Drosophila melanogaster: one gene and its partners. The protein of the gene in region 4 interacts with the protein of the main gene of each other region in a biochemical or structural test. Each region holds a gene or a part of one and is shown on either strand. Other genes may lie near its edges. The genes, in order: deltaTry, gammaTry, Ubqn and Rpt3.

What was found.
Region 1: of the proteins of Rpt3 (region 4) and deltaTry, one has a biochemical effect on the other in vitro, tested with the Drosophila melanogaster proteins (one study listed by BioGRID).
Region 2: of the proteins of Rpt3 (region 4) and gammaTry, one has a biochemical effect on the other in vitro, tested with the Drosophila melanogaster proteins (one study listed by BioGRID).
Region 3: the proteins of Rpt3 (region 4) and Ubqn form a complex in vitro, tested with the Drosophila melanogaster proteins (one study listed by BioGRID).

Annotation. Positions count from the first base shown.
Region 1 is NT_033778.4:11,352,793-11,358,712, forward strand, and holds deltaTry (deltaTrypsin), read left to right. Parts: upstream 1-2,526; 5' UTR 2,527-2,540; coding exon 2,541-3,302; 3' UTR 3,303-3,336; downstream 3,337-5,920. Other genes in the region: CG30025 (uncharacterized protein), read right to left, coding at 806-1,567; CG13202 (uncharacterized protein), read right to left, coding at 3,374-3,473, 3,535-3,680; iotaTry (iotaTrypsin), read left to right, coding at 3,951-4,709; CG12384 (uncharacterized protein), read right to left, coding at 5,324-5,479, 5,544-5,632.
Region 2 is NT_033778.4:11,345,107-11,352,468, reverse strand, and holds gammaTry (gammaTrypsin), read left to right. Parts: upstream 1-2,598; 5' UTR 2,599-2,613; coding exon 2,614-3,375; 3' UTR 3,376-3,408; downstream 3,409-7,362. Other genes in the region: CG30031 (uncharacterized protein), read right to left, coding at 881-1,642; betaTry (betaTrypsin), read right to left, coding at 5,366-6,127; epsilonTry (epsilonTrypsin), read left to right, coding at 6,422-7,192.
Region 3 is NC_004354.4:19,682,160-19,692,394, reverse strand, and holds Ubqn (ubiquilin), read right to left. Parts: upstream 8,588-10,235; 5' UTR 8,395-8,587; coding exon 8,299-8,394; intron 7,956-8,298; coding exon 6,485-7,955; intron 6,406-6,484; coding exon 6,329-6,405; 3' UTR 4,737-6,328; downstream 1-4,736. Other genes in the region: Mer (merlin), read left to right, coding at 1-94, 154-363, 461-697, 760-1,563; CG14227 (uncharacterized protein), read left to right, coding at 3,470-3,701, 3,770-3,812, 3,879-4,063, 4,132-4,532; dome (domeless), read left to right, coding at 9,425-10,235.
Region 4 is NC_004354.4:11,120,864-11,128,812, reverse strand, and holds Rpt3 (regulatory particle triple-A ATPase 3), read right to left. Parts: upstream 3,713-7,949; 5' UTR 3,501-3,712; coding exon 3,465-3,500; intron 3,391-3,464; coding exon 3,307-3,390; intron 3,249-3,306; coding exon 2,127-3,248; 3' UTR 2,028-2,126; downstream 1-2,027. Other genes in the region: SrpRalpha (signal recognition particle receptor alpha), read left to right, coding at 24-662, 750-1,838; CG11122 (uncharacterized protein), read left to right, coding at 5,215-7,912.

The DNA of each region.
Region 1 (5,920 bases), on a different chromosome or scaffold from region 4:
TTTGTGGGCGTTAGAGTGGGCGTGGCAAAAATATTTTTGGCGAATCGATACAAATTTACAAAACAATAAAAATGTGAAAAAAATCAAAATATTTTTCAAAATTGTGGGAGGGGAAATATGGGTCTATGTCTCTAGAATCTGTATGCCTAATCTCAAGCTTCTAGCTTTTATAGTTGCTAAGAACTCGACAGACGGATGGGGCTATCGATCCTGATCAAGAATATATGTACATTATATGATTGGAAACACTAACTTGTAGCTGTTAGATACATTTAAACGAATCTATTATACACTTTTACTCTACGAGTAAAGAGTATAAAAATAAAATGGTTACGAATATATCGTTATAAAGTAAGTCTTATGTAGAATGATGCGTATCGAGCCTATAAAATTCATATTCTTCTTGATCATGATCTAGATTTCCCTATCCGCCTAACGTACAGTCTTGGAAAACTAATAGAGCTTTAAAGTTGTAGTTAAAAATGCATGTTTTATTTACGACTACATTGCGCAAGTTTGCTTCTTAATAATGCCTAGTTGTTTACAATTCCAATCACGCTAATAATCCTTAGGGCATTCTAACAGAATATGGGGATAGTTAAATCCAATCAATCAATTTCCATAGTCCTAAAAGCAGTCCCTTTACTGCTTGCACAACTCACTATATCTAATAGTCATTGCACTCGAACAGTCATTACCATCTAAAAATGTGAACCCTGTGTCCTGATTTTTAACTAAGACCATCTTTTAAAATAAACTGACGACCGTCATAAACTGTTCATATATGATTTATTTCGAAAAATAATTAGGCGTTGTTGATCACCCAGGAGCGGAGGGCAGCAACATCGGCATAGACACCGGGGTAGTTGGAGTAAGCGCATCCGTATCCCCAGGAGACAACACCGACGAGGACTCCGCCGGAGACCAGTGGGCCACCGGAGTCACCCTGGCAGGCATCCTTGCCGCTGGCAGCAGCGCAGATCATGGTGCTGCGGATCTGGCTACCGTATCCGTAGGTGGAGGAAGCACACTGGCTCTGGCTAACGATGTTCACGTTCACGTACTGCAGCTGGGAGGGGATGGAGCTGGATCCGTAGGAGAGAGTGCCCCATCCGGAGACGGAGGCCGCAGCGCCGTTGGCGGGGTTGGAGCTAGCCAGACCGATGGCCTTGATGGTGGAGCTGAAGGTCAGGGCGCCGTTGATCTTGATGATGGCAATGTCGTTGACCATGGTGTTGGCGTTGTAGCCCTCGTGGTTCTTGAAGGAGGACACAGAGAAGGTGACACCGCCGGAGCTCCAGTAGCTGGATCCAGCACGGATCTGCAGGACGGAAGCGGACACGGACTGCAGACAGTGAGCGGCGGTCACGATGACGTTGCTGGAGTAGATGGATCCACCGCAGGAGTGGCTTCCACTGCGCTGCAGGGAGATCTGCCAGGGGAAGCTGCTGATGGTGGTAGCAGAGCCGCCGACAATGCGGCCATCCAACTGAGGCAGGAGTCCCTCAGGGACGGTGCCTCCCAGGGCGCAGGCTACTGCAGACAACAAGATCACGAACTTCAGCATGGTGCGAATCCAATGAGTTGACTCTAAACTGGACACCCCTTTTATACGAGTTTCCAATCTGTTCTTGGCACTATAATCACAACTTTCAATTATTTTTATCACCTGCGTGTCAGGAAAACCCAAATAATACCGTTGAAGTGCCCAAATGATATTCCACAACTCAGAAGTCGCACGGCTCTTTATCACAAAAATAAATAAAAATGCGAGGAAAGTGTAACTACTTTTATATTACCTTTCTAAATAATTCGCTTTCTTTTTATTATATTTAATTTTTGCAAGGTATTGATGGGAACGTCTATTTTCGACTTACATATTTAAATAGGGGATTAAACTTGTACAATAACATTGTGGAATTTTTTAAAAGTGGATGCTTGTCATTCAACTTGATTTAGTTCTAATCTAATCCAATTATTATACATAATTGTGTGCATAACTATTAATATTATTGGCTTTTTAAAAGAAAATAACTGTTTAGCATTTTAATTTGTGAATTTTGTAAAACCATTAATTTTAAGAACAATTTAATCGCCTTTGCATTAATTTTAATTACATGATTATGCGTTCAATTGCATTGTTTTCTAGTAATGCTCATGATGTTTCTCATAAGTTATATAATTTCTTTTAAAAAATTATGGTGTCTGTTTATTTAAAACACAATAAATTGTTTATAGAAATATAAATTGTTTTAATTTCGTTTAAACCCCGATATCTTTATGTGACTATCTTTTTCAAGCTATTTAAATGACCAACTTATTGCAAAAAAAAATCGTTTGGCATGAATCTGGACTTTGTATACGTATATACTTCTTATTCGCGAAATCTATTTGTCGGTCACACATTTAAAAAATATTTTGGATTTCCCTGACAAGCAAGTGATAAAAATAATTGAAATTTATGATAAGAGCGCCACAAAGAGATAGGTCCCTGTATAAAAGGGGTGTCCAGTTTAGAGTCAACTCATTGGATTCGCACCATGCTGAAGTTCGTGATCTTGTTGTCTGCAGTAGCCTGCGCCCTGGGAGGCACCGTCCCTGAGGGACTCCTGCCTCAGTTGGATGGCCGCATTGTCGGCGGCTCTGCTACCACCATCAGCAGCTTCCCCTGGCAGATCTCCCTGCAGCGCAGTGGAAGCCACTCCTGCGGTGGATCCATCTACTCCAGCAACGTCATCGTGACCGCCGCTCACTGTCTGCAGTCCGTGTCCGCTTCCGTCCTGCAGATCCGTGCTGGATCCAGCTACTGGAGCTCCGGCGGTGTCACCTTCTCTGTGTCCTCCTTCAAGAACCACGAGGGCTACAACGCCAACACCATGGTCAACGACATTGCCATCATCAAGATCAACGGCGCCCTGACCTTCAGCTCCACCATCAAGGCCATCGGTCTGGCTAGCTCCAACCCCGCCAACGGCGCTGCGGCCTCCGTCTCCGGATGGGGCACTCTCTCCTACGGATCCAGCTCCATCCCCTCCCAGCTGCAGTACGTGAACGTGAACATCGTTAGCCAGAGCCAGTGTGCTTCCTCCACCTACGGATACGGTAGCCAGATCCGCAGCACCATGATCTGCGCTGCTGCCAGCGGCAAGGATGCCTGCCAGGGTGACTCCGGTGGCCCACTGGTCTCCGGCGGAGTCCTCGTCGGTGTTGTCTCCTGGGGATACGGATGCGCTTACTCCAACTACCCCGGTGTCTATGCCGATGTTGCTGCCCTCCGCTCCTGGGTTATTAGCAATGCCTAAAAAGTGTGCGAAATAAAACGTATATTCTGACTATAAACTTGGTCTTTTATTTTTATTGCGCAATTAACAAATTAATCCCGGGCCGCCGAGTTCCATAGTCGATTCTTCGTCTTAAAATTCGCCTTGTCGCCCTTGGTCACTGGACGAAGATGAGCCGCATCCACTATGTTCCTGATGGCAATTGGCTTACATGCATTTTTCAATTTGAGACATGTTTATTTGTATTGCTTACTTGAATTCTTCGTAGTTCTGAGTGCTATAAACAGCCCTAAGTTTGGCATCGTTGCGCAGTTCATAGAGTTCTCCATCACGGATGCACTGCAAGCAGCTCTCCCGCAGACGGATAAGCTCCTCCGCGGTTATCTTCCAGTTATCCATGTCGGTATTATCTCTCAAAAGTCCTTTTTTCGATATTCACAACATCTAAATAAATTTGTTTGGCAATAGTTGCCTGGGCAACGTGTTTTCATATCGAACTAGAGAACCGGGTAAGGAGCAGTGCTGACCAAGACCAATCAAGGGTATCAGTAATATATACTAACGATAAGCCATCAATTAGCCGAAGATTAACTTTTACAGCCCTAGTAAAAAGCACGCCATGAAGGGGTTTCGTGGACAAATACGAGCAGTTTGCACTTGGCTTTCGGAATGGCTGTTTACGGAATAGTGGCTACGGTGCTGGTCCTTTTGCTGCTCGGCGATGCGTCAGATGTCGAGGCCACTGGACGAATTATTGGCGGAAGCGATCAGCTGATTCGTAACGCCCCCTGGCAGGTGTCTATTCAGATCAGTGCGCGCCACGAGTGCGGCGGAGTCATCTATAGCAAGGAGATCATCATCACAGCCGGACACTGTCTACATGAGAGATCCGTGACGCTGATGAAGGTGCGTGTGGGTGCACAGAATCACAACTACGGCGGCACATTGGTTCCTGTGGCGGCGTACAAAGTCCACGAGCAGTTTGATTCCCGCTTCCTGCACTACGACATTGCCGTGCTTCGTCTGTCCACACCACTGACCTTTGGCCTCTCAACGAGAGCCATCAATTTAGCCAGTACGAGTCCATCGGGTGGAACAACAGTCACTGTCACGGGTTGGGGCCACACTGATAATGGAGCCCTCTCCGATAGCTTGCAGAAGGCCCAGTTGCAGATCATCGATCGCGGAGAGTGTGCCTCGCAAAAGTTTGGCTACGGTGCGGATTTTGTGGGCGAGGAAACAATTTGCGCTGCCAGCACTGATGCAGATGCCTGTACGGGAGACTCTGGAGGTCCTTTGGTGGCCAGTAGCCAGCTGGTGGGCATTGTATCCTGGGGTTACCGGTGTGCGGACGACAACTACCCCGGTGTCTATGCCGATGTGGCGATTCTGCGACCTTGGATAGTCAAGGCGGCCAATGCCATATGAACAGATTTTGGAAAATAAAGACCATGCTTAAAAAAGTTTAAGAATGCAACTCCATTAATATTCGCCCCCCAGGTGGAATCGAACCACTTCGACGCAAATCGACTACGGATTTGAAGTCCGCACCCCGGACCACCGAAGTTCAGTGGGGCATTTAGTGTGCTAGAGTTTCCCTAATTATATACACGTTGTGCTGAATAAGCACTTGGGAATTTTAAGAGTACGTGTAGAGCAAATTCCAGTAGATCTGAGGGCAATATAGATAACATCGGAAATCACGAATTTCATGTATAGTGTTATATGTCTTCTTTGGTCAATGTTTTATCGCATCCAAGCTCACCAGGAACACCACGAGTTGGTTTAGGTAAAAATTTAAGATATACGCATTCGAAACGAATGTCTTGAAATCTATAAAAGGGATAAAGTTTATTACAAAATATTAACTCAGAAAATCAGCATTTTTAATTTATGGAATGCAGTGGCAAATGCATATATAAAATTAAAGAGTAAATATCGCATTCAAAGGCGATTTCAATACCATTGAGAGGACTCATAGAATTTCAACAAAAGATCAAAGAGATTAGATAATGATAATAGTTATTCCGCCCGAGTACGCATCACTTCCGTGGCTGCTGGATGTGGATCTGGGGCTTCTGCTGCACTGCAGCCGGTGGCTTGGGCGAGTGGGCCACCTGGGCGGAGGCGGGCGTAAAGTCCGTGTTGCCCTTGACGGGGGCACCGCTCACAGAGCCGGAGTTCACGGCAATGGGTTGCTTTAAAGGATTAGAGGATAAGTTAGTTTCCATTGAAAACCACATACTTATGTCAATAGCTCACTGTCAGTCCAGTACAATCCTCTGCATCCTTGGGCGCGCGTTCTGCCGTCGGCGCTTTGTGCTGCACAATTCGCATGCCACCAGCCTTCACTATAATTAAATAACAAAAACATATAGGGTTGGCAACAAATGAGGCTTGGCCACAGTAGCCGATTCAAGCCGTGTTTACGTAAAGCGGCTATTAAAAAGTAAGTAAGCCATACTAGTCGTCCAAAGTTGACATGTTATTATTTACATTGTACGAAGATGATTAAGTCAATGGCATTTTATAAACGTTAAGGATAAAATATAAGGCGTAAAAAGCTACTTTAAAAAGTAATAATTTCCTATTCAGTTAACGTTATTGTTTGAATTGCACGTGACGTCAGCATAAAGTAC
Region 2 (7,362 bases), on a different chromosome or scaffold from region 4:
CATTTCATTCATTTCATTCATTTCATTCATTTCATTCATTTCATTCATTTCATTCATTTCATTCATTTCATTCATTTCATTCATTTCATTCATTTCATTCATTTCATTCATTTCATTCATTTCATTCATTTCATTCATTTCATTCATTTCATATCATTTCATTCATTTCATTCATTTCATTCATTTCATTCATTTCATTCATTTCATTCATTTCATTCATTTCATTCATTTCATTCATTTCATTCATTTCATTCATTTCATTCATTTCATTCATTTCATTCATTTCATTCATTTCATTCATTTCATTCATTTCATTCATTTCATTCATTTCATTCATTTCATTCATTTCATTCATTTCATTCATTTCATTCATTTCATTCATTTCATTCATTTCATTCATTTCATTCATTTCATTCATTCATTTATATCATTCATTCATTTCATTCATATCATTCATTCATTTCATTCATTCATTTTCACTGTGGAGTTTCTATCGATATGCCAGAAGAAAGATGCTAGTTCGTTCACCCTGACACTAGCTGAGTAACGAGAGTATCTGATAGTCGGGGAACTCGAATATAGCATTCTCTTTTGTTAAAGAGTAAGTTCGGTTAACATAAGTTAAACTATGTAGTAATTGATCGAAAACGGGTACCTCAACAAATTACCTTTAATTTATTAAAATGATTTAAACCATTATTAACCTCCCGACAGAAATCTAGGTGTTTGTTATTTTTCAGGAGGTGAGAATACATTTTTTAGAAGGTTTCCTTTCCCATTTGCTGAATAAGACACATTACTGTTGAATCAGTAATAGGTCAAAACCACAATGAAACATAATAAAAGTAATATCCAAACTGAAATTTATTTCGCATACTTCTTAGGCATTGCTAATAACCCAGGAGCGGAGGGCAGCAACATCGGCATAGACACCGGGGTAGTTGGAGTAAGCGCATCCGTATCCCCAGGAGACAACACCGACGAGGACTCCGCCGGAGACCAGTGGGCCACCGGAGTCACCCTGGCAGGCATCCTTGCCGCTGGCAGCAGCGCAGATCATGGTGCTGCGGATCTGGCTACCGTATCCGTAGGTGGAGGAAGCACACTGGCTCTGGCTAACGATGTTCACGTTCACGTACTGCAGCTGGGAGGGGATGGAGCTGGATCCGTAGGAGAGAGTGCCCCATCCGGAGACGGAGGCCGCAGCGCCGTTGGCGGGGTTGGAGCTAGCCAGACCGATGGCCTTGATGGTGGAGCTGAAGGTCAGGGCGCCGTTGATCTTGATGATGGCAATGTCGTTGACCATGGTGTTGGCGTTGTAGCCCTCGTGGTTCTTGAAGGAGGACACAGAGAAGGTGACACCGCCGGAGCTCCAGTAGCTGGATCCAGCACGGATCTGCAGGACGGAAGCGGACACGGACTGCAGACAGTGAGCGGCGGTCACGATGACGTTGCTGGAGTAGATGGATCCACCGCAGGAGTGGCTTCCACTGCGCTGCAGGGAGATCTGCCAGGGGAAGCTGCTGATGGTGGTAGCAGAGCCGCCGACAATGCGGCCATCCAACTGAGGCAGGAGTCCCTCAGGGACGGTGCCTCCCAGGGCGCAGGCTACTGCAGACAACAAGATCACGAACTTCAGCATGGTGCGAATCCAATGAGTTGACTCTAAACTGGACACCCCTTTTATACGAGTTTCCAATCTGTTCTTGGCACTATAATCACAACTTTCAATTATTTTTATCACCTGCGTGTCAGGAAAACCCAAATAATACCGTTGAAGTGCCCAAATGATATTCCACAACTCAGAAGTCGCACGGCTCTTTATCACAAAAATAAATAAAAATGCAAGGAAAGTGTAACTACTTTTATATTACCTTTCTAAATAATTCGCGTTCTTTTTATTATATTTAATTTGCAAGGTATTGATGGGAACGTCTTTTTTCGACTTACATATTTAAATAGGGGATTAAACTTGTACAATAACATTGTGGAATTTTTTAAAAGTGGATGCTTGTCATTCAACTTGATTTAGTTCTAATCTAATCCAATTATTATACATAATTGTGTGCATAACTATTAATATTATTGGCTTTTTAAAAGAAAATAACTGTTTAGCATTTTAATTTGTGAATTTTGTAAAACCATTAATTTTAAGAACAATTTAATCGCCTTTGCATTAATTTTAATTACATGATTATGCGTTCAATTGCATTGTTTTCTAGTAATGCTCATGATGTTTCTCATAAGTTATATAATTTCTTTTAAAAAATTATGGTGTCTGTTTATTTAAAACACAATAAATTGTTTATAGAAATATAAATTGTTTTAATTTCGTTTAAACCCCGATATCTTTATGTGACTATCTTTTTCAAGCTATTTAAATGACCAACTTATTGCAAAAAAAAATCGTTTGGCATGAATCTGGACTTTGTATACGTATATACTTCTTATTCGCGAAATCTATTTGTCGGTCACACATTTAAAAAATATTTTGGATTTCCCTGACAAGCAAGTGATAAAAATAATTGAAATTTATGATAAGAGCGCCACAAAGAGATAGGTCCCTGTATAAAAGGGGTGTCCAGTTTAGAGTCAACTCATTGGATTCGCACCATGCTGAAGTTCGTGATCTTGTTGTCTGCAGTAGCCTGCGCCCTGGGAGGCACCGTCCCTGAGGGACTCCTGCCTCAGTTGGATGGCCGCATTGTCGGCGGCTCTGCTACCACCATCAGCAGCTTCCCCTGGCAGATCTCCCTGCAGCGCAGTGGAAGCCACTCCTGCGGTGGATCCATCTACTCCAGCAACGTCATCGTGACCGCCGCTCACTGTCTGCAGTCCGTGTCCGCTTCCGTCCTGCAGATCCGTGCTGGATCCAGCTACTGGAGCTCCGGCGGTGTCACCTTCTCTGTGTCCTCCTTCAAGAACCACGAGGGCTACAACGCCAACACCATGGTCAACGACATTGCCATCATCAAGATCAACGGCGCCCTGACCTTCAGCTCCACCATCAAGGCCATCGGTCTGGCTAGCTCCAACCCCGCCAACGGCGCTGCGGCCTCCGTCTCCGGATGGGGCACTCTCTCCTACGGATCCAGCTCCATCCCCTCCCAGCTGCAGTACGTGAACGTGAACATCGTTAGCCAGAGCCAGTGTGCTTCCTCCACCTACGGATACGGTAGCCAGATCCGCAGCACCATGATCTGCGCTGCTGCCAGCGGCAAGGATGCCTGCCAGGGTGACTCCGGTGGCCCACTGGTCTCCGGCGGAGTCCTCGTCGGTGTTGTCTCCTGGGGATACGGATGCGCTTACTCCAACTACCCCGGTGTCTATGCCGATGTTGCTGCCCTCCGCTCCTGGGTTATTAGCAATGCCTAAGAAGTATGCGAAATAAATTTCAGTTTGGATATTACTTTTATTATGTTTCATTGTGGTTTTGACCTATTACTGATTCAACAGTAATGTGTCTTATTCAGCAAATGGGAAAGGAAACCTTCTAAAAAATGTATTCTCACCTCCTGAAAAATAACAAACACCTAGATTTCTGTCGGGAGGTTAATAATGGTTTAAATCATTTTAATAAATTAAAGGTAATTTGTTGAGGTACCCGTTTTCGATCAATTACTACATAGTTTAACTTATGTTAACCGAACTTACTCTTTAACAAAAGAGAATGCTATATTCGAGTTCCCCGACTATCAGATACTCTCGTTACTCAGCTAGTGTCAGGGTGAACGAACTAGCATCTTTCTTCTGGCATATCGATAGAAACTCCACAGTGAAAATGAATGAATGAAATGAATGAATGATATGAATGAAATGAATGAATGATATAAATGAATGAATGAAATGAATGAAATGAATGAAATGAATGAAATGAATGAAATGAATGAAATGAATGAAATGAATGAAATGAATGAAATGAATGAAATGAATGAAATGAATGAAATGAATGAAATGAATGAAATGAATGAAATGAATGAAATGAATGAAATGAATGAAATGAATGAAATGAATGAAATGAATGAAATGAATGAAATGAATGAAATGAATGAAATGAATGAAATGAATGAAATGAATGAAATGAATGAAATGAATGAAATGAATGAAATGAATGAAATGAATGAAATGAATGAAATGAATGAAATGAATGAAATGAATGAAATGAATGAAATGAATGAAATGAATGAAATGAATGAAATGAATGAAATGAATGAAATGAATGAAATGAATGAAATGAATGAAATGAATGAAATGAATGAAATGAATGAAATGAATGAAATGAATGAAATGAATGAAATGAATGAAATGAATGAAATGAATGAAATGAATGAAATGAATGAAATGAATGAAATGAATGAAATGAATGAAATGAATGAAATGAATGAAATGAATGAAATGAATGAAATGAATGAAATGAATGAAATGAATGAAATTAATGAATGAAATGAATGAATGAAATTAATGAATGAAATGAATGAATGAAATTAATGAATGAAATGAATGAATGAATGAATGAAAAAAAAGTTTTGATTGGTTTGTGGGCGTTAGAGTGGGCGTGGCAAAAATATTTTTGGCGAATCGATACAAATTTACAAAACAATAAAAATGTGAAAAAAAATCAAAATATTTTTCAAAATTGTGGGAGGGGAGGGAGGGGAGGAGGGGAAAGGGGAAATATGGGTCTATGTCTCTAGAATCTGTATGCCTAATCTCAAGCTTCTAGCTTTTATAGTTGCTAAGAAACTCGACAGACGGATGGGGCTATCGATCCTGATCAAGAATATATGTACATTATATGATTGGAAACACTAACTTGTAGCTGTTAGATACATTTAAACGAATCTATTATACACTTTTACTCTACGAGTAAAGAGTATAAAAATAAAATGGTTACGAATATATCGTTATAAAGTAAGTCTTATGTAGAATGATGCGTATCGAGCCTATAAAATTCATATTCTTCTTGATCATGATCTAGATTTCCCTATCCGCCTAACGTACAGTCTTGGAAAACTAATAGAGCTTTAAAGTTGTAGTTAAAAATGCATGTTTTATTTACGACTACATTGCGCAAGTTTGCTTCTTAATAATGCCTAGTTGTTTACAATTCCAATCACGCTAATAATCCTTAGGGCATTCTAACAGAATATGGGGATAGTTAAATCCAATCAATCAATTTCCATAGTCCTAAAAGCAGTCCCTTTACTGCTTGCACAACTCACTATATCTAATAGTCATTGCACTCGAACAGTCATTACCATCTAAAAATGTGAACCCTGTGTCCTGATTTTTAACTAAGACCATCTTTTAAAATAAACTGACGACCGTCATAAACTGTTCATATATGATTTATTTCGAAAAATAATTAGGCGTTGTTGATCACCCAGGAGCGGAGGGCAGCAACATCGGCATAGACACCGGGGTAGTTAGCGGCAGCACATCCGTATCCCCAGGAGACAACACCGACGAGGACTCCGCCGGAGACCAGTGGGCCACCGGAGTCACCCTGGCACGAGTCCTTGCCGCTGGCAAAAGCGCAGATCATGGAGCTCTTGATCTGGTTTCCGTAGCCATAGGAGGAAGAAGAGCACCGGCTCTGGCTGACGATGTTCACGTTGACATAACGCAGCTGGGAGGGAATGGAGCTGGAGCCAGAGGACTCGGTACCCCATCCGGAGACGGAGGCAGCAGCACCGTTGGCGGGGTTGGAGCTAGCCAGACCGATGGCCTTGATGGTGGAGCTGAAGCTCAGAGAGGAGCTCAGATGGAGCACAGCGATGTCGTTGACCATGGTGTTGGCGTTGTAACCCTCGTGGTTCTTGAAAGAGGAAACCTTGGCGACGACGCCACCAGAGCTCCAGTAGCTGGATCCGGCGCGGATCTGCAGGGAGGAGGCGGACACGGACTGCAGGCAGTGAGCGGCGGTCACGATCACCCTGGCGGAGTAGATGGATCCACCGCAGGAGTGGCTGCCACTGCGCTGCAGGGAGATCTGCCAGGGGAAGCTGCTGATGGTGGTAGCAGTACCGCCGACAATGCGGCCATCCAACTGGGGCAGGAGACCCTCGGGGATGGTGCCTCCCAGGGCGCAGGCTACAGCCGACAACAGGATCAGGAACTTCAGCATGGTGCGATTGAATGGATACTCTTCGAACCGAAAAGTGTGCTTATATCGGGGGTCACTATCTCGGGAGGCGTTTAATCAATGGACAAGTGAGATTCCTCGTGGTTAAAGTGGATAACGATGTGGAGTGGTCGTCGTGTGATAAGCTGATTATTTCTAAATATCACCGCCTATATCGATGGTGAAAATGACGCAACAATTATGCTGAAGTTGCAGCTGTCAATCAAGTGGAGATATTTGCCGCGGGGACTGTATAAAAGGGGTTTTGATCCGCGAATCAGCATACAAACGATTAAAATGTTGAAATTCGCGGTACTTCTTTCCGTTTTGGCCTGCGCCTTGGCTGGCACCATTCCCGATGGCCTGCTGCCCCAGTTGGATGGTCGTATCGTCGGTGGTTATGAGACCAGCATCGACGCCCATCCCTACCAGGTGTCCTTGCAGCGCTATGGATCACACTTCTGCGGTGGATCCATCTACTCCCACGACATTGTGATCACCGCCGCTCACTGCCTGCAGTCGATTGAGGCCAAGGACCTGAAGATTCGTGTGGGCAGCACCTACTGGCGCTCCGGCGGCAGTGTCCACTCCGTTCGCTCCTTCCGCAACCACGAGGGCTACAACTCCCGCACCATGGTCAACGACATTGCTATTATTCGCATCGAGTCCGATCTGAGCTTCCGCTCCAGCATTCGCGAGATCCGTATTGCCGACTCCAACCCTCGTGAGGGCGCCACCGCCGTGGTTTCCGGCTGGGGCACCACCGAGTCCGGTGGCAGCACCATTCCCGATCATCTGCTGGCCGTTGATCTGGAGATCATCGATGTGTCGCGTTGCCGCTCGGATGAGTTCGGATACGGAAAGAAGATCAAGGACACCATGCTCTGCGCCTACGCCCCACACAAGGATGCCTGCCAGGGTGACTCCGGTGGCCCACTTGTCTCCGGAGACCGCCTTGTCGGTGTTGTGTCCTGGGGCTATGGATGCGGTGATGTGAGGTATCCCGGTGTCTACGCCGACGTTGCCCACTTCCACGAGTGGATCGAGAGGACCGCCGAGGAGGTGTAAAGCCAGACAAACACTTGAAATAAATCGCAATTGAATCAGCATTGATATCTGTTTCTCTATTTGGGCCCAATTGCGTCGCAGGTGTAAAGCCCTCGAAATTGCGGCTAGATAAGAATTGTAGCGTGGGCTGTATATAAGGTTGGACGGGCGGCATGTAAGCCAGCACTTGT
Region 3 (10,235 bases), 8.6 Mb from region 4:
CCATGAGCCCATGACGCGCGACGAGGTGGAGATGGAGTACCTGAAGATTGCTCAGGACCTGGACATGTACGGAGTAAACTACTTTCCTATTACGGTGAGAGCCTTGATTTTCACGTGGCGCATCTGAATCTTATCGTTTGTGTTCCCCACCAGAATAAGAACAAAACCAAATTGTGGCTGGGCGTCACCTCCGTGGGCCTAAACATCTACGATGAGCGCGATAAGCTAACGCCAAAGACAACGTTCCAGTGGAACGAGATACGGCACGTCAGCTTCGACGACAAGAAGTTCACCATTCGCCTGGTGGATGCCAAGGTTTCGAATTTCATCTTTTACTCGCAGGACCTCCACATCAACAAAATGGTAAGGAGGGCAGTTGTGACAACTGAAATATGTATATGTATTTTCACTATGTTCATGTTCCCATATTCATACTACACTTGCATCGTGTGCTTTGCAGATTCTTGACCTGTGCAAGGGCAATCACGATCTATATATGCGCCGCCGCAAACCCGACACCATGGAAATCCAGCAGATGAAGGCCCAAGCCAAGGAGGAGAAGCAACGCCGCCAGATCGAACGCAAAAAGTTCATCAGGGAAAAGAAGCTGCGCGAAAAGGCGGAGCACGAGCGCTACGAGCTGGAGAAGAGCATGGAGCACCTGCAAAACGAAATGCGCATGGCCAACGATGCACTTGTAAGACTCACTCCGCCCAGTGGCTTCTGATCTATAATATTGAGTTTCTCCCTGTATCCCAGCGGCGTTCCGAAGAGACCAAGGAGCTGTACTTCGAAAAGAGTCGTGTCAACGAGGAGCAGATGCAGCTGACCGAGTGCAAGGCAAACCACTTCAAGACGGAAATGGACCGGCTGCGCGAGCGACAAATGAAAATCGAGCGGGAGAAGCACGACCTGGAGAAGAAGATTCGCGACGCCGACTTCTATGTCCACCAGCTGACGGTGGAGAACGACAAGCGGGAGGCCGAGACTGAGAAGCTGCGCAAGGAGCTGATCTGCGCCAAAATGGCGGAGCGCGAGGCCACCGCTCGCCTGCTCGAATTCCTCAACAGCGGCCGCAAGTCCTCCACGGATAGCCTGCTGACCGCCTCCAGTGTGTCGCACGCGGCGAATACGGCGTCCAGCATGGCGGCCATCAGCACACCCTCCCTGATCACAAGCAGCTCAACCAATGATTTGGAGACCGCCGGCGGCGCCGAGCTGACCACCCACTCGTCACACTACCTGGTCCAAGGTGACAACTCCAGCGGCATTTCGGACGACTTCGAGCCCAAGGAGTTCATACTCACCGACAACGAGATGGAGCAGATCACCAATGAGATGGAGCGCAACCACCTCGACTACCTGCGCAACTCCAAGCAGGTGCAAAGTCAACTGCAGACACTGCGCTCCGAGATCGCGCCGCACAAGATTGAGGAGAACCAGAGCAACCTGGACATCCTCAGCGAGGCGCAGATCAAGGCCGGCGAAAATAAATACTCCACGCTCAAGAAACTCAAGTCCGGCTCGACCAAGGCGCGTGTCGCCTTCTTCGAGGAGCTCTGACCTCCTCCGCCTCCGCCTCCTCCGTCACCTACTCCCCCCTCACCCCCGCATCCGCCGACATGACTAATACCCCATCTAGCTGTACGATACGTTACGATTTGGCGTGTGTGCCTGTGCGCGTGCTAGAGTGTATGAGTGCCTTAACCGTAGTTGTACTATATCCTACTATAACATACTATATTTAATGTTTTTCGATTGTTCGCTCAAGCCGCTGCTGTAATAAACCAATTGCAAACGTACATATGTACATACATATGTACATATATGATTTTACATTCACTTACGCACGAAAAATATTCATAAAGTAGATGGGCGATTAGATACCGTTATTTTCGGTAGAAGATATTCAACACCTTCCATGCAGTTCCACAATTCATCGCTCTTGAGAAACATCACACCCTCTCACCGACACCGACTCTCTCGAACGCGATCTCTCTCTTCCAAAAATGAAAACTAATAAACCGCAAAACAGAATCAAAGGACGATTAAAATGCGCTCAAACAACGGTGATCAATAGCGAAGATTTGGCGCTCTTTTGACTTTGTCAGTGTGTTGATACCTTCCCTGCAGTTCCCCAATTCATCGATCTTGAGAAACATCACACTCTCTCACCGACACCGACTCTCTCGCGAGCGATCTCTCTCCCAAAGATGAAAAACCATAAACCGCAAAACCCAAAACCGCTAAAGCAGCGATGAAAAAACGCTGAATCAAAGGACGATTGGCCCGTTAAAATGCGCTTAAACAACGGTGATTAATAGCGATGTTTTTGGGATTTTTTTTTCATACCGATGATTTCCTAAAACATGCCAATGTTAAAATCACCGGTAGCTTTCGTGCAAATTGTGCGGTGTTTAAGCGCTCAACATTTTTAAAAGAGCGGTGATTTACCGATTAAAAGTCGGTGACTGGAACTGCAGGCACGGATTTGTTCTAGTTAAGTCTGAATGTTAATTACGATATTCTTGAAGCTCCCTCCTATTCCGCTGAGCGTGGTCGGTTTACGGATGTTATCCCAGAGACTGTGGATGTCCATCCGATTCCATGGTCTCTTAGTTCTGTTGCCATATATTTTCTGTCAGCTCGTTTAAATACATATGTACATATGTACATACATACATACAACTATGCAAATCGGAACGAAAATGCTGTCTTCCTGCAGTGTATCCTATAGCTAAAAAAATAAAGTGGCGCAAATTAAACGATTGGATTTCTATTTATTTATTATAATTTTTCAAGATTTCAGACAAAGGAATTGCATTTTAATTGAATCTGACTATAGATATGTATGTACCTGTAGACTATAGATTATGCCTAACGTTTAACTGCAAGGGTACTTAATCCTTTAACTTGGCGTGCACGGCGTTAAAGGAAATTTCCCACTCGATATGATAGACGGATCATTCAAAGGTATAGGGTTTCAGATCCGAAGAGTACTCCGGACTCGTTCGCACCATCAGTGTATCTTTGTCTAATTCAAGATCTTCAAAGGGTGTTTCTACCCTATACACCTTGTTATGTTCCGTTATTACGCGGAGTAATTATAATAAGAGAACTTTATTTAAAGTTTAAATAACGGTAAAAACTTAATATTAGATATTAAATAAACGAAATGTCATAGTTCAAATGAAAATGTATGTTATCCATATTGATTTCTGCTATTCCATTTAATTGAGTGAATCAAAAATCCAAAATTAATCAATTTTTTATAAGAAATAAAAGTGATTAAATGTATGGATATAGATGTGGCATGTGTTCCAGCCAAAATTTCATTGAAGCACGCGTAGAACACAGCCCAATTTGCAACTTTCGCAGAAGTGAGGAACTTGCGATAAGTGAGTGTCAAATTTATATAATAAAAACCCAATGGCACGAAGTTCGGTTTCCATTCGGGCCTCGAGCTACAATGAAGAAAGTCATAGCGGCACTCCTGATCCTCTTTGCCTCTCTATTTCTCGGATCCCGAGAGGGATCGGCTTTCCTGCTCGACGCGGAATGTGGAAGGTCGCTTCCAACTAACGCTAAGCTAACTTGGTGGAATTACTTTGATAGCAGCACTGACATACAGGCCAATCCTTGGATTGTTTCGGTGATAGTGAATGGCAAGGCCAAATGCAGTGGATCGCTCATCAATCATAGTGAGTGTTTGTGCCAAATGATGAGTGTCTTATTTAGCTCACGCAAGGCTAAATTTTAACCATTCCAGGATTTGTTTTGACAGCAGCACATTGCGTATTTAGAGAAGCCATGTAAGTCCTGCCCATTCGCCAGCATATGTGGTGGTCATCAGCCCATTACCCAATCTCTCCCTGTAGGCAGGTGCACTTGGGTGATTTCGACGCCTGGAATCCTGGACAAAATTGCAGCTCGGGTGCTCGCTTATCAAACGCATACTGCGTTCGGATCGACAAGAAGATCGTGCACGCCGGATTCGGCAAAATACAAGCCCAACAGTACGACATTGGCCTACTCCGGATGCAGCATGCGGTGCAGTATTCAGGTAATTGAGTGGGAGATATCCAGTCGTTGCCCTCGAAAGTCTCAACCAGAACTGCCTTTCCCCTATAGACTTCGTGCGCCCCATTTGCCTGCTCATCAATGAGCCAGTGGCGGCCATCGACCGATTCCAGTTGACCGTCTGGGGCACCACTGCAGAAGACTTTCGCAGCATACCACGGGTGCTGAAGCATTCCGTTGGGGATCGTATCGATCGCGAACTCTGCACCTTGAAGTTCCAGCAGCAGGTGGACGAGTCGCAGATATGCGTCCACACCGAGACGAGCCACGCATGCAAAGGGGATTCCGGTGGCCCCTTTAGCGCAAAAATTCTCTACGGGGGCACGTATCGCACCTTCCAGTTTGGCATCATCATCTTCGGCTTGAGCTCCTGTGCGGGCCTAAGTGTCTGCACCAATGTGACTTTCTACATGGACTGGATCTGGGATGCTCTGGTTAACTTGTCGGCATGAGGACATAAGTTATAAGTTATAAGTGTATAAGTTATTATAAACGTTTAAGCTGCAGTAAAGATTTGGAATAGCAATTAGAAAGTACTGCTTACTAAAACTAAGCCAGAGTGGGTGAGCTGCTTTATTTCGGATGCCTTTGGAAGTAAATGAGATAGTAGAGAGTAATAGACGAGGTTGGCTATAATCTAAAACCAAAGTAGCTTTATTACGTTTTCAAACATGTGATCATTTACATTTAATTACTTTGCCTCACTTCCTTCACTAAACAAATAAACGTAGTTCCACTAGTCCACTAGCCCAACTGACCAACCAACAACCCGGCCAGCCAGCCAGCCGGCCAGCCAGCCAGCCGGCCGACCAGCCAATCCCACAGCGGACGAGCGAGGCTATGTGGTGGTAGCACTTACAGGGTATACACTGAATCCATATCTTATATAAACGGTGAGCGCGCGAAGGAAAGCTTTTCGAAAGTGTGTGTGTGTGTGATTGATCGGAAATGGGAACCCAAATGGTCGGTTATAGGTTTTATATACGAAAGCTTAGAGTAAATTACATTACAAGTTATTATTGGGGCTTCCTCTCTTTACTAAGGAGTTGGTTTTTTTTTTTTTTTTTTTTTTTTGTTTTATAGTTTTACGTCTTTTGTTAACACCTTGGAATATTTTGATATATATATATATATGTATATACATATATATATACCTATATACACACATTAACTTACAGTAGATATCGTTAGCATGCAAATCGCTTGTGTGCAACAACTTTTTACATTTGTATTCCTCTGAACGGGATGTGGGATAAATAACGCTTGGAGATTGCTCTTATATTAACGAATCGATAAACATTTTGATTGACTACAGCATACTCGCGCGTATGTTAGGATTCCCCCAAGACAGTGTCGTCTTTGCATATAGCCGATATCTACTGTACGTTTGTCCTGTTTGCAGTTGTTTGCAATTTCCAGAACGTTTTCCGATCGCGAGAAATGGAGGGGGGGGGGAGTCAGAAGGACTGCGGCTATAGCCCACGCCCACTAGCACCCGACTAAAACTAAACTGCCTGACCAGAACACAGGATATATACTACGCCTCTGATCTCTGTACCGATTCTTTTTTCTTAAACACAAAACTGGAATTCGCATCTGTTGGCGACAAAATAGTTATTACATTATCAATGACAAAAGTGCACATTCCCGCTTAACTTTATTGAAAATTAACGAAGTTCTCCGATAAAGAAATGCGTTAAGTATTTCGATTGAAGTTGTTGGGCGTGCAAAACTATGCATTACGTGAGCAAAGTATGCATATTCAAGTTGGTTTTCGGCTAACGCATTTCCGCTTAAAGGATTCTCCGAGCTCACGAAATGTAAATTATTTAAAAAAAAAAAAAATCTGATATCAACTACGAAAGTGCTAACACTTTGGTATGCGATCCCTATCTAACATTCTCACCGGCGTCATTCATATCACCCACCTATATCTAGTATCTCTCCGATCTCGAGGCAACTATGCTCGTTTGGAGCCATCTTTTTGTGTCTTGGGGGTGTTGGTATGTTGGCATGTGGCTATGATGGATTCCTGACATTTCCGGCTTGATGGGGAAACAAGCGATCAGCAGCGCTGACCGTGGAATTTTTTGGCGGAGGGTGTGTGTTTGGGTTTAGGACCTGTCCTCCTAACTAGTCGTGTTCTCATTCGCGTTCTCCAGGGCCGTAGTGGTATATATAGTAGTTGTAGTTCGTAGATATATAGACAGGTTGTGTACAGTTTGGTTATGGCTATGGCTTAGCCTTGTTAACTCAAGGACAACTGGTTGAGGGACAGCAGTCGCTCTACCGCCGCATTGATGTCCCCGAAGGTAGCGATCAGAGCTGCAAACCAAACACAAGAGAGCGGATTAGAATCATCGCACAGGGCAGGCGACCCACCAAGACCCACTAGGACACTCACCCTGCAAGTTGGCATCACGGTTGACAAAGCCCATGGCGTTCAGCTGCTCCAGCTGCGACTGGTAGCGCACCTCCGGCGGCTGTGTGTTGTCCGCGTTGTTCGACATCCCGTTGAGCATGCGCATCATGAAGTCGTTGAAGAGCTGCGCGTTGGGACCACCGCCCGGGGCCAGGTTTGGAGTGCCGGTGCCGGCGTTGAGGCCGCTGCTTGGCGAAACATTGTTGGTGCTGGCACCGCTGTTGCCCCCGCTCCCATCGCCGCTGGCTGGATTCGTTCCGGTGCCGGCACCCGGTGGTGGCGGTGGAATGCCCAGGGTGCCAACGAGACCTGGGGCCGCGCTGCGCAGCTGCTCCATGCCCTGCTGGATCTGCAGGATAGCGTTCATTGCATCCGGATTGGTCAGCATGTTCATCACCTCGGGGTTCTGCATTTGGGCCATAAACTGCGGCATCATCTGACGCACCTGCTCCTGCAGGGCGGGATTGTTAGACATGAGCGGACTGCTGCTCAGCAAGCGCGCGGCCATGTCCGGGTCCTGTGACATGGACTCCATCATGGAACGCGTGTAGGGCGCGTTCAGCAGGTTCTGCATCATGGCTGGATTGTCGGCCATCTGCTGGAGCAGGCTTCGCATGGCCGGCGTGTTGAGCACATTGTTCGGCGGCAGATCCCCCGTCGGATTGCCGGCGCCGGAGCCACCGACTGTTCCATTGGTTCCCGAATTGGCACCGCCCCATGGATTCGGCAGGGGATTGCGGTTCTCGGTGCCCTGCTGCGGGTTGTTGCCGGCTCCTGAACCGCCGCCGTCGACCAGGCCGGCAAAGGGGTTGCGACCAAAGGATTCCGTGGCCGCGTTCATCATTGGCTCCTGAATATCGCGGTAGATGCGCTGCAGGGCGCTATAGCCGCCCGGCACCGACTCCAGATTCGACATGGCGCGGTCGTGCGAACGCATCAGCTCCTGCAACATCGAGGGATTGCGGGCCAGCTCCATCGTCTGGCGCAGCAGGTCCGGATTGTTAAGCATATGCGAGATCTCGGGGTTGCGCTGCATCAGGTCATGCATTTGCGGATTGGACGTGATAAGCTGACGCATGGTATCCGGATTATTCATCATCTGCTGCACCATCGGGTTGTCCATCAGGGAGCGCAGCATGTCGCCATTGTTGAGCAGCTCGTTCTGCATGCGCGCCTGCAGATCCATGAACGTGTTCGATCCGGCTCCAAGTGCCTCCATTCCGGCCAGGCCACCGAATTGATTGAGGCCAAAGGGCGTTTGGCGCACGTCAGCCGGCTGTCGGGCCGGCTGCTCGTTGTTGCGCGTCGGCGCCTTAATCACCAGATGCACCGTCAGGTTGTCCTTGATGTTGTGCATCTGAAGGGTGTCCGTGTCCTTCATAATTTTGCCGGCAAAAATGAGCACGAGCTGCTCGGGCTCCGCCTCGAACTTTTGTGCAACCAGAATTTTGAACTGTGGGGCGAGAATGGTGTGATTGTTGTCATTATTATGTGCCCATGGTCTAGTTTCCCCTTTCAATTAAATGTTCGCTCCCATGCCTCTGCTTCAATTTATGTGTGTTAATGGGAAGAAGACCAATCACTGTGCAAAGTGCACTGTACCAGCTGCGCGTGTTGTGTGCGGCTTAGGCAAAGTGCACTGTACCGCGATTACGGGCACTAATTTCCCAATACTTTCGGGGGTGTGGGCAAAGAGCAGGGAGGGAGGGAGGTGGTCCATCGCTATGAATGGAAGGGTCCAGAAGGGTTTGGGGTACCAGCAACCAAGTCAGGCGGGTCACGTGCTCCGTACTCACATCTTTTATTCCAGAATCTTCGTCAACTTCGACCGTTTTCTTGTCCTTTGGCGTTTTTACAACCACGTTGATGCGCTTGCTGCCGCCTTCCGCCATTTCGATGGTGTATTTGCGGTGTTCTCGTTTAGCTTAATTTGCACCGATGTAGCTGGTTCTTTCGAGATGTTATCACGTCTGTAATTTAAATGTGTTCCGAATATATACGTGTTTTCACCCTAAATTATTTCCCATTTGATGAAAAGTAATTCGTCACTTTCTCACTCACACGGACACACACACACTCACGATGGATTTCGATTTTGACTCTTACACACGCCAGGGCTGACGTATCAACCACCAATCGATGAATCGATAGCGGCCAATTGAACGCTTTGAACGCGTCCAAAACCGCTGCCAAGTAGTTTGCTCTGCTTGAAAACGTATTCGGCAGAGGGCGTTCTAGAGATACAAGCAACGGGTGGCCTAGAATTCGAATTTCGGCTGAAATGCGATGTTTGGCACCTATCGCATTTAGTGGGGCCGTTCGTCGACAGGTAGCCCCAGTGATATCGCATATCGGACTGCGATAACTTTCGATAAGCGGTCACACTGCGGACAAGCAACTCGTCGACAACATATATCGTCAGCATCGCGAGCGGGGGCAGGGAGGAGAGCGATCGCCTTAGCCAACTGAGGATTCTGCATTTGCGAGAGAGCCAGAGACAAAACAGTAACACGGTACCACAGTTGCTCGAAGCGAGCAATTGGCATTGCAAGGCCCTGATAGCCCTATTCGTAATTTAGTCGTAGTGAAGCCCCGGACAAGAAGCCCACACCTGGGCAGTGAAATGTTTAAGAGCCACTTCCAGGAACGCAGCGTATAAACGGTTTCCGAGAACTGGCCACCAATACACAGCCAACAAGTGCGAGGCCAACAGCAAGGTGCTCTTGTGTGTGTGAGAGAGCGCCGTTTTGGTGTGCGCGCGTGTGTAAGAGCGAGAGAGAGACAGAAAGAGAGGAAAAGAGCTAAAGACAGAGAGACAGAGTGGGAGAGAGAGAGAGAGAGAGCCAGAGTAAACCTTAACAGCAAGGGAAGGAGGGGATTAGGATTAGGATTAGGATTGGGAGCAGAACCAGGACCAGGAAGATGGTGGCCCAGGAGCAGCTCGTCCTGCTGCTCATGCTGCTTGCCGGCTGCCGGGGTGGCGCCAACGCCATCTTGGATCCTGGCTGGGTGATTCCCTCCAAGGTGGAGCAGCTCATCGGCGGCGACTTTAATCTGAGCTGCACCCTCAACGAAGACTACTTTAACGGCAAGAGCGCCGAGGACTGCCCGGTGGAGAAGCTGTACTTTACAGGCGGCGGCCGCGTCTACCGCGATTCCAAGCACATCCGAATCCTGAACAACACCACCATCCTGTTTAGCGACACGAATGCCGTGGAGCAAGAGAACGACTACCACTGCATGTGCGACGAGTATGTGATCAACAAGTCAAAGGTCTACGTGGGCACCAGGCCGCTCCTGGTGCGCGACTTCAACTGCCTGGACTACGACTTCCAGTTTATGGTGTGCAACTTCACCCAGCCGCCCAACACGGTCATCACCAAGTACAACATCAGCTACAACACCAACAACGACTGGCGATATAGCAACACACTGGACTGCAACTTCGACTCGGCGCCAGTGGTCACCTGTAACCTAACCGACGACAACTACAAGCGCTTCAGCGAGACCTTCTACTTCCGACTGTCCATCTCCAATGCCCTGGGCCACGAGACGCAGCCGATCACGATCAATCACTTTGAGCGTCTGGTGCCGGCGCGACCTGGCCAGAACCTGACCCTGCTCAACAGGACCGAGAGCTCCGTGTGCCTGTCGTGGGAGATGCCCCGTCGGTCCAACTACAATCGCGGCCTGGTGTGGCAGGTGCGCGTCACGCCGCAAAACTTTGAGCCCA
Region 4 (7,949 bases):
AATGTGCTTTTGTGCGGCTGCAGGAGCGCAACACAGAGGCCAAGTACTACGAGGAGGACCACCTGGCCGTGCAGTTTAAGCTGGACAACGAACTGGACCTGGTCTATGCGGCCATTTTCCAGAAGGTGATCAAACTGAACTACCTAGATGGATTCCTGGCCGACATGCAGGCGGCCTTCAAGGAAAAGTACGGCGACATACGTCTGGGCGATGACTACGACTTCGATCGCGAATATCGACGCGTGCTCAGCGCCGCGGAGGAGGCGTCCGCCAAGCAAGTGAAAGCACCTAAAACCATGCGCTCCTACAACGAGTCACAGAAATCGAAAAAGACCGTCGCCTCGATGATACAGGACGACAAGAAGCCGGTGGAGAAGCGGGTGAACATCCAGGAGGCCCCGCCACCATCCAAATCACAGCCGTCGTCGCCACCGACGGGCTCCCCAATGGACAAGATCATCATGGAGAAACGGCGCAAGCTGCGCGAAAAGCTCACGCCCACCAAGAAGACCTCGCCCAGTGATTCCAAGTCCAGCAAGCCCGAGAAGGCCGGCAAGAAGCCACGCGTCTGGGATCTGGGCGGTAATTCCAAGGATGCCGCTCTGCTCGATCGCTCCAGGGATTCGCCCGATGATGTGCAGTACCAGAACATCAACAGCGAGGTGAGTACTAACTTTCACTTTCCCCGAACGCGACTCGCATTCAAAGTGAAATCACGAACTCATTATTATCATTTTTCATACTCGCAGCTGGTGGGCACAATGCAGGGCGTCATCCGCGACTTGGATGTGGAGAGCGAGGACGAGGCTGACAACGAGGATGCATCCTCTGAGGGGGAGGCCGAGGAGCAGGTGCAGTCAAAGAAGGGCAAGCGCGGTGGCCTGCTATCCTACTTCAAGGGCATTGTAGGCGCCAAGACCATGTCGCTGGCAGATTTGCAGCCGGCGCTGGAGAAGATGCGCGACCATCTGATATCGAAGAACGTGGCCTCTGAGATAGCAGCTAAGCTGTGCGACTCGGTGGCCGCCAGTTTGGATGGCAAGCAAATGGGCACATTCGACAGCATCGCCAGCCAGGTGAAGGAGGCGCTCACGGAATCGCTGGTGAGGATACTATCGCCCAAACGGCGCATCGACATCATACGCGATGCCCTCGAATCGAAGCGCAACGGCCGCCCGTACACGATAATCTTCTGCGGTGTCAATGGTGTCGGCAAGTCCACCAATTTGGCCAAGATCTGCTTTTGGCTGATCGAGAACGATTTCAACGTTCTGATCGCCGCCTGCGATACGTTCCGAGCCGGTGCCGTCGAGCAGTTGCGCACACACACACGCCATCTGAACGCACTGCATCCGGCGGCCAAGCACGATGGACGCAACATGGTGCAGTTGTACGAGAAGGGTTACGGCAAGGATGCCGCCGGCATTGCCATGGAGGCCATCAAGTTTGCCCACGATACGCGAGTGGATGTGGTGCTTGTGGACACCGCCGGACGCATGCAGGATAACGAGCCGCTGATGCGTTCCCTGTCCAAGCTAATCAAAGTGAACAATCCGGATCTGGTGCTATTCGTGGGCGAGGCACTGGTGGGCAACGAAGCCGTCGACCAGCTGGTCAAGTTCAATCAGTCGCTGGCCGACTACTCATCCAACGAGAACCCGCACATCATCGACGGCATAGTGTTGACCAAGTTCGATACCATCGATGACAAGGTGGGCGCCGCCATCTCCATGACCTACATAACCGGCCAGCCAATTGTGTTCGTGGGCACGGGTCAGACGTATGCCGACCTAAAGGCCATCAATGTGAACGCCGTGGTCAATTCCCTGATGAAGTAAGCCAGCCGTCGATCCGGCTATCCTTCCAATGCTCCTTGTTTGCATCCACTCTTTTCACCGAATCAAATATATGGCTTTTGTCTAGTTTGTTGTTGCGTAAATGGAATGCTTTGCCCACTGTTGGCTGTTGGTTCGTTTAGGATTAAGGATCGCTTGGCACTTCGATTACAAGTTGTTTTGTTTTTTTTTATTTTTTTATTAATGTTTATAACTTTATGCGTACAAAGAAGAGTTTAGTGTGTTGGGGGAAAAAATGGGGCGGGAGTAGTGTGTATGAATTAATATAATCTATTTGTAGAACTCGTGCTCCTGCTCGTCCTTCTTGATATTGTTCTTGTAGCCCTTCTCGAAGTCCTTGGCCAAAACGATGTAGCGATTCTCACGCACCGCGTGCATGCCCGCCTCTTGGCAAATGGCGTTGATATCGGCACCGGAGATCTTGTCCGGCCGCGCCACAAACTCCTCCAAATCGACATCCTCGCTTAGGTTCATCTTCGAGGTGATGGTGGAGAAGACGAGTCGCTTCTGCCGGCGATCGGGCAGCGGGAACTCAATCTTACGATCCAATCGACCAGGTCGCAGCAATGCCGGATCGAGTGTGTCCGCCCTGTTGGTAGCCATGATCACCTTAACGTTCGTGGTCTGATCGAACCCGTCCATCTGGTTGAGCAGCTCGAGCAGAATGCGCTGCACCTCGCGATCGGCGCCAGTCTGCGCATCGAAACGCTTCGTGGCAATCGCATCGATCTCGTCAATGAAGATGATGGCCGGCGCGTTCTCCTTGGCCAGCCTGAAAACGTCGCGCACCATGCGCGGTCCCTCGCCGAGGTACTTCTGCACGAACTCCGAGCCGACGACGCGTATGAACGACGCCGTCGTATGATGGGCCACCGCCTTGGCCAACATGGTCTTGCCGCAACCGGGCGGACCGTACATAAGCACGCCGCGCGGCGGATCGATGCCAATCTGCTTGTACAGCTCGAAGTGGGTCAGCGGCAGTTCGACTGCCTCGCGGATCTCCTGCTTCTGCATGTCCATGCCACCAATGTCCGCATAGCTAACGTCGGGCTTCTCATCCGGCTGCAGCATCGAAATGGAGCTATCCGCCTCTGGTGGCAGCACGTCCACCAGCGCGTTGCTGTGCTTGTGCAGGGCCACCGAGGCGGAGGGCTTCAGCAGCTCGCGATCGATGGTGGACAGGATGCGCACATAGTAATTGGAGCCGGTGGTGGAGCCCACAATGCCCGTGTTCTGATCGACGGCCTCCAGGAACTGGCCAATCACCAGCGGCACCGACTGGATGCGCTTCACCTCCTCCTGGGCGTGCAGATACTCCTTTTTCAGGTTTCGCTGCTCGTCCTTGATGTACTCCTCCTGCACTTCAATGAACTCCAGTGTCTTTTGCAGTTTCTACAACACAATGGCCGCTTAGATGGGTGATCAAATGGAAGACCAGTGGACGACTCACCTTGTAACGCACGTAGAGATCCTCCATGTCCAGTTCGTCCAGGGAACTGTGCGCATCTTTTAGCTTCAAGTCGGAGAGCTCGTCCTGGTGGAAAAAGTGGAATTGGGAAAGAGGTAATTAGTACGCATGCCAGGCGGCGCAGAGAGGCAACTACGCACCTTTTCCGGTATCAGTACGTCCATGTTGTACGGCATTCTTTTCGTTCAGCAATGAGTCTCGTTTTATTAGTTTGCGTTTTCTGCGAGGCGACCAAAATGACTCGTCAAAAACAAGCCAGCAGTGCGTTGTGGTGGCAACCCTGTCCGCAATCGATTGTGATCTATCGATGGGGCCATTTATCTATCAAATTGTGCTGCTCTTTCAATCGGTTTTTTTTTTCGATATATACTCTTTCTGATAAGAAAGCAACTCCTCTTTATTGGACAATATCCTATACCAGTTAGTCTGTAAAGCTAAAATGTTGTATACAAATAAATCTAATATCACATGTCATGTTTCTCACTTAATATCCGGAAAGTATTTTTTAATACGTTTCAAAGCATCTGGTGATGGGAAAAAATCAGCTGTCTGATAATTGCCCGATATATACCAGCTCTGATTGGAACAAAAGCTGATAACAGATTTATTACTAACAAAAACTATTTCGAATGCAGATCGCTTATAAGTAATTGATAAAATCGCAAGTTATTCTAAGCAATTCACGTAGAACCATGCCAAAGTATCGCTGCTCGAGACGCAACTATCGATAGTTCGAGTACCTTTCTCGCCAGCGGGTACAAGTGTGTACACACTGGCAAAACCCGACCATTTTGACGCGATTTCGATTTCCCATAAGAAAAAAAAAGAGTAGAAAAACACACACATTTAACATTTCGGTCGCTCCTGCTGCTTCTGTGTGTGCTATGTGTGCGTGTGCGAACGAACCAAATATATACACACACGAGCGCTGGTAGGACAGTGAAATCGAATTTGCTGTTTATATAGCACAATTCGATGGCTGATAATGCCGCCGCCGTCGCCGAAAAATCGTTTCCCCAATATCGCTAGCATCAGAACGGGAAAGAGAACGGGTACGAGTACGATTCCGATTCCGATTCCGAGTACGTTTCCCACAAAGTATCGTTGTCGTTGTCGTCGTTGTCCTGCTGCCGTGCCCCGCCCCCTCTGGCCGCGCCGCCGCCCCCTCTGCGCCGTACGCACGCATCGATTTGGGCTAAACGTTAGATACCTCCTAACGCAGTTGTTAGGGTGGAAAGAACGGCCAGGGAAAATTGAATGCGCTACACTGGTGGTCGAGCTGCTGCAATGCCGTGCTTAAATTTAAGTGCAAGGCACTGATACGGATCCGTTGGCGCTCCTGGTCTGGTCCGTATCCAAGCGAAAAGAACAAAATATACAAGAAAAAAACAAGAAACAAAACAACAAAACGGAAAGCAATCCCGTGAAATCCCGGAATACAGTGCAATACAACGAACCGAAACACAGAACAAAACGAATAGAACGAAACAAAACGAAACGTATTTAGATACGCAGGAGAGACCAAGTCGGGATATCCAAGTGGACAGTGTGGTCTTGTGCAGTGGAGTGGTAGTTATGCTATATATAGCTGTTGGCCAAAACAATAGTGTCCGATAACAGAGCGAGATCAATTCGAGGAGTTGAAAATGTTTATTGTATAATTTCCAATTGAGCAGGTGTGCGTGCGAGTGTGTGTGCGTACGTGTGTGTGAGTAGTTTTTGTTTTTCGCTGCTTCTTCTTGCGGTTTATTTGTCAACAAAAAGAAGAAGGAAGAACGAAGCAGTGTGCGTGCAGCAGTAAATTGTTGTCCGCACACCCCGCACTGCTTGCAGGAGTGGCGAAGCAGTTAACTTGTGCAACGCAACCACGGACGACCCAGTGGCCTCCACATGAAGACCATGTCGCGCTTCGGCCTGCGCCGTGGCTTCAAGTTCTCGGAGGAGCAGGTCAACGGCAAGAATCCAATTGGACCGGCAACGGCACCAGCCACGGCCGCTGCCTCATCTAATCCGCGCAAAAAACGACAGACCCGGCAGGAGGAGGATGTGGACGCGGAACAGGAAGAGGTGGAACCGCACGAGGATCAGCTGGAAGCGGAACAAGAGCCGCTCTCGCTGATCTGCAGCCTGCCGCTGGAGCGGCTGCCCCGTTTGGTGGAGAAGCTGCATCAGATGACGGAGGAACGGGAACGAGAACGGGAGAGGGAGCGCGAGCGCGAGCGGGAAGAGGCCGCCGGCCTGGGTGGAGCCGCGCACTCGAAGGTCCTGTGTCTGTACTGTGATAGGAAGTTCGCCTCCGGCAAGCTGCAGGCCAAGCATGTGGACAAGTTTCACACCGAGCGGCAGGAACGACGCTGCAGCGGTCGTTCCACCAGCTCCAATTCTCATCCCGCCGGCGGCTTCCCCGGCTGCCAGTGGTGTGGCCAGCAAGGCAATCGCCGCCAGGCCACGCCCCCGCAGATCTGCCTGCCGGCCAAGCATTTGGAGCAGCTATTCCAGCACCTCAGCGAGCAGCATGCAGATAAGTATTTCGCCTGCCAGCCGTGTCGCCTGCGGTTCCAGGACGCAGATCACCTGTTGGGACACCAGCGCCAGCAGCATTCGCTTCATCATCCGGAGGATGGCCATGCCACCAAACCGGGTCTGATGGGCGCCGACGAGCCGGTGCTCTTTCGCCTCGGCCTTACCCAGAACCGTCTGCCCAGCCATCGGAATCGAAACCAGCGCAAGGAGGAGGAGCCGCCGCCCCTGGCCACGCCCAGCAGCAAATCCCGGAGCAGCAGTCGGGCGGCGACGCAGCGACAGCAACAGAATCAGCATCAGCATCAACAGTCGCAGTCGCATCAGCAGACTGCTGCAGCGGGTAACATGGCTCTGCAGGAGTCTGTCAATCCGGATGCAGTCTTCCGGCTGCCAGCCAGCATGGCCTGCGTCTCATCATCCGCCTCCGTCGCCAACTCAGTGTTCGATGACAAGTTCTACAAGGATGTGATCTCTAATGTACGGCACAACCTCCAGAATCACCTCGACGGACGGCTGTTCACCTCGTCTTCGACGTCCACAACGTCAGCCACATCGTCGTCCGCATCCCATAAGTCAGACCTCATTATGCTGCACGGACCCAGTCAGCTGGGGCCTGGCGGCGCCTCCTATCCCACTCTACTGACCGCGGATCAATTTGGCGGCACGGGGGAACTGCTACCGCTGGCCAAATTCCGCCGGAGACCGCACACGAAGCACAGTTGGAAGTGGAAGTGGGACTACGTGAAGAAGTTCACGCTGATCAACGAGGGCGGACGGCTGGTCAAGAAGCTGAAGCAGCCAAACTACCTGGGACTGCGCGATCTCTCCAAGTTGGACATGTGGACGCAGCTGACGATGCGGCAAAAGCACGATCTCTCGCTCTCATTGACGGAGGAGCAGAACCAGGAGCAGCGCCGCCTGCTGGAGCAGCTAAATCTCATCCTGGACCACCGCCTGCTGCCGCACATCATTCTCGAGCAGAACGAACAGGCGGTCATCAAGTGCGAAAACGAGGAGGAGGACGAGGGCCTGGACTCGCATCCCGGTGACGATCTGCTGCCGCAAACGTTCGCCGACGAGAGTTTTCTCTCCCTGCTGCAGCTCCAACCAAGAGGCGGGAGCAGCGAACAGGAACGACAGCGGGAGCGGGACCAGCGAGAGCGTAGCAGGAACCAAAAGGCCGTCGTGCTCAGCGGCGAGTGGGCACGGCCGCGTCTCTATTTGTGCATCTGTTGCGGCGCCAAGTTCGACCAGCGCAAGTCGCTGGAGGAGCACAAGACCTTCCGCCACTCGCACATCTACGCCACGCACTACGAGGTCGTGGGACGCGAGCTGCTGGCCGGCAATCTGTTGCGCCACCTCTTCATCCCGAAACGGGCGCTGGGTCGCTTTGCCGCCGCGAGCAACTGCATCCGATGGCCGCAGATTGCGCCGGCAGCCACAGTGCAGCAGCCCAAGCAGGAGCAGGTGCAACCGGAGGAGGAGACCAGGTCGTCGGCCTCGTCACGCTCATCATACGAGGTGTCCACACCCACTCCGCTATCGGCACTGGAGCAGCAACAACCATCACCTGCTTCGGGATCGGGCAATGCGTCTTCATCGTCGTCCTGTTCGCCCAGCTCATCATCCGCCTCCACGCTGCTGTCCACCGCCACCCGCACCTCGATGTCCAACTCCACCTGCACCTCCTCCGCTGCCACCACGACGGTGTCGTCCACCTCGTCCGCTCCTTCCAGCTGCACCAAGTGCGGTCGCAAGTGCAGCGGCCTCATGGATCTCTATCGCCACATGCTGGACTGCTCCGGCGACTATGTGTGGTCGCTGGCCAAGAAGCGCAAGTATCGCTACTACTGCGGCACCAAGAAGCGACGAGCCTTCTCCAAGAAGCTCAAGCAGCTCTCCGCCCGCAAGAAGGAAAAGCTGGAGGTGGAAGTGGAGGAGGGAACGGGCGATGGCGATGGCGATGCCGAGGTAGATGGCGATGGCGAGGCGGAGGCGGAGGGCGAGGAAAGCGTGTCCAGTTCATCCAAGTTGAAGAACTCGCCACGCCAAAGGCCCAGCGATGGTGAGTATGCTGTGAGTTTCCAAGTTCCCTTGCACAC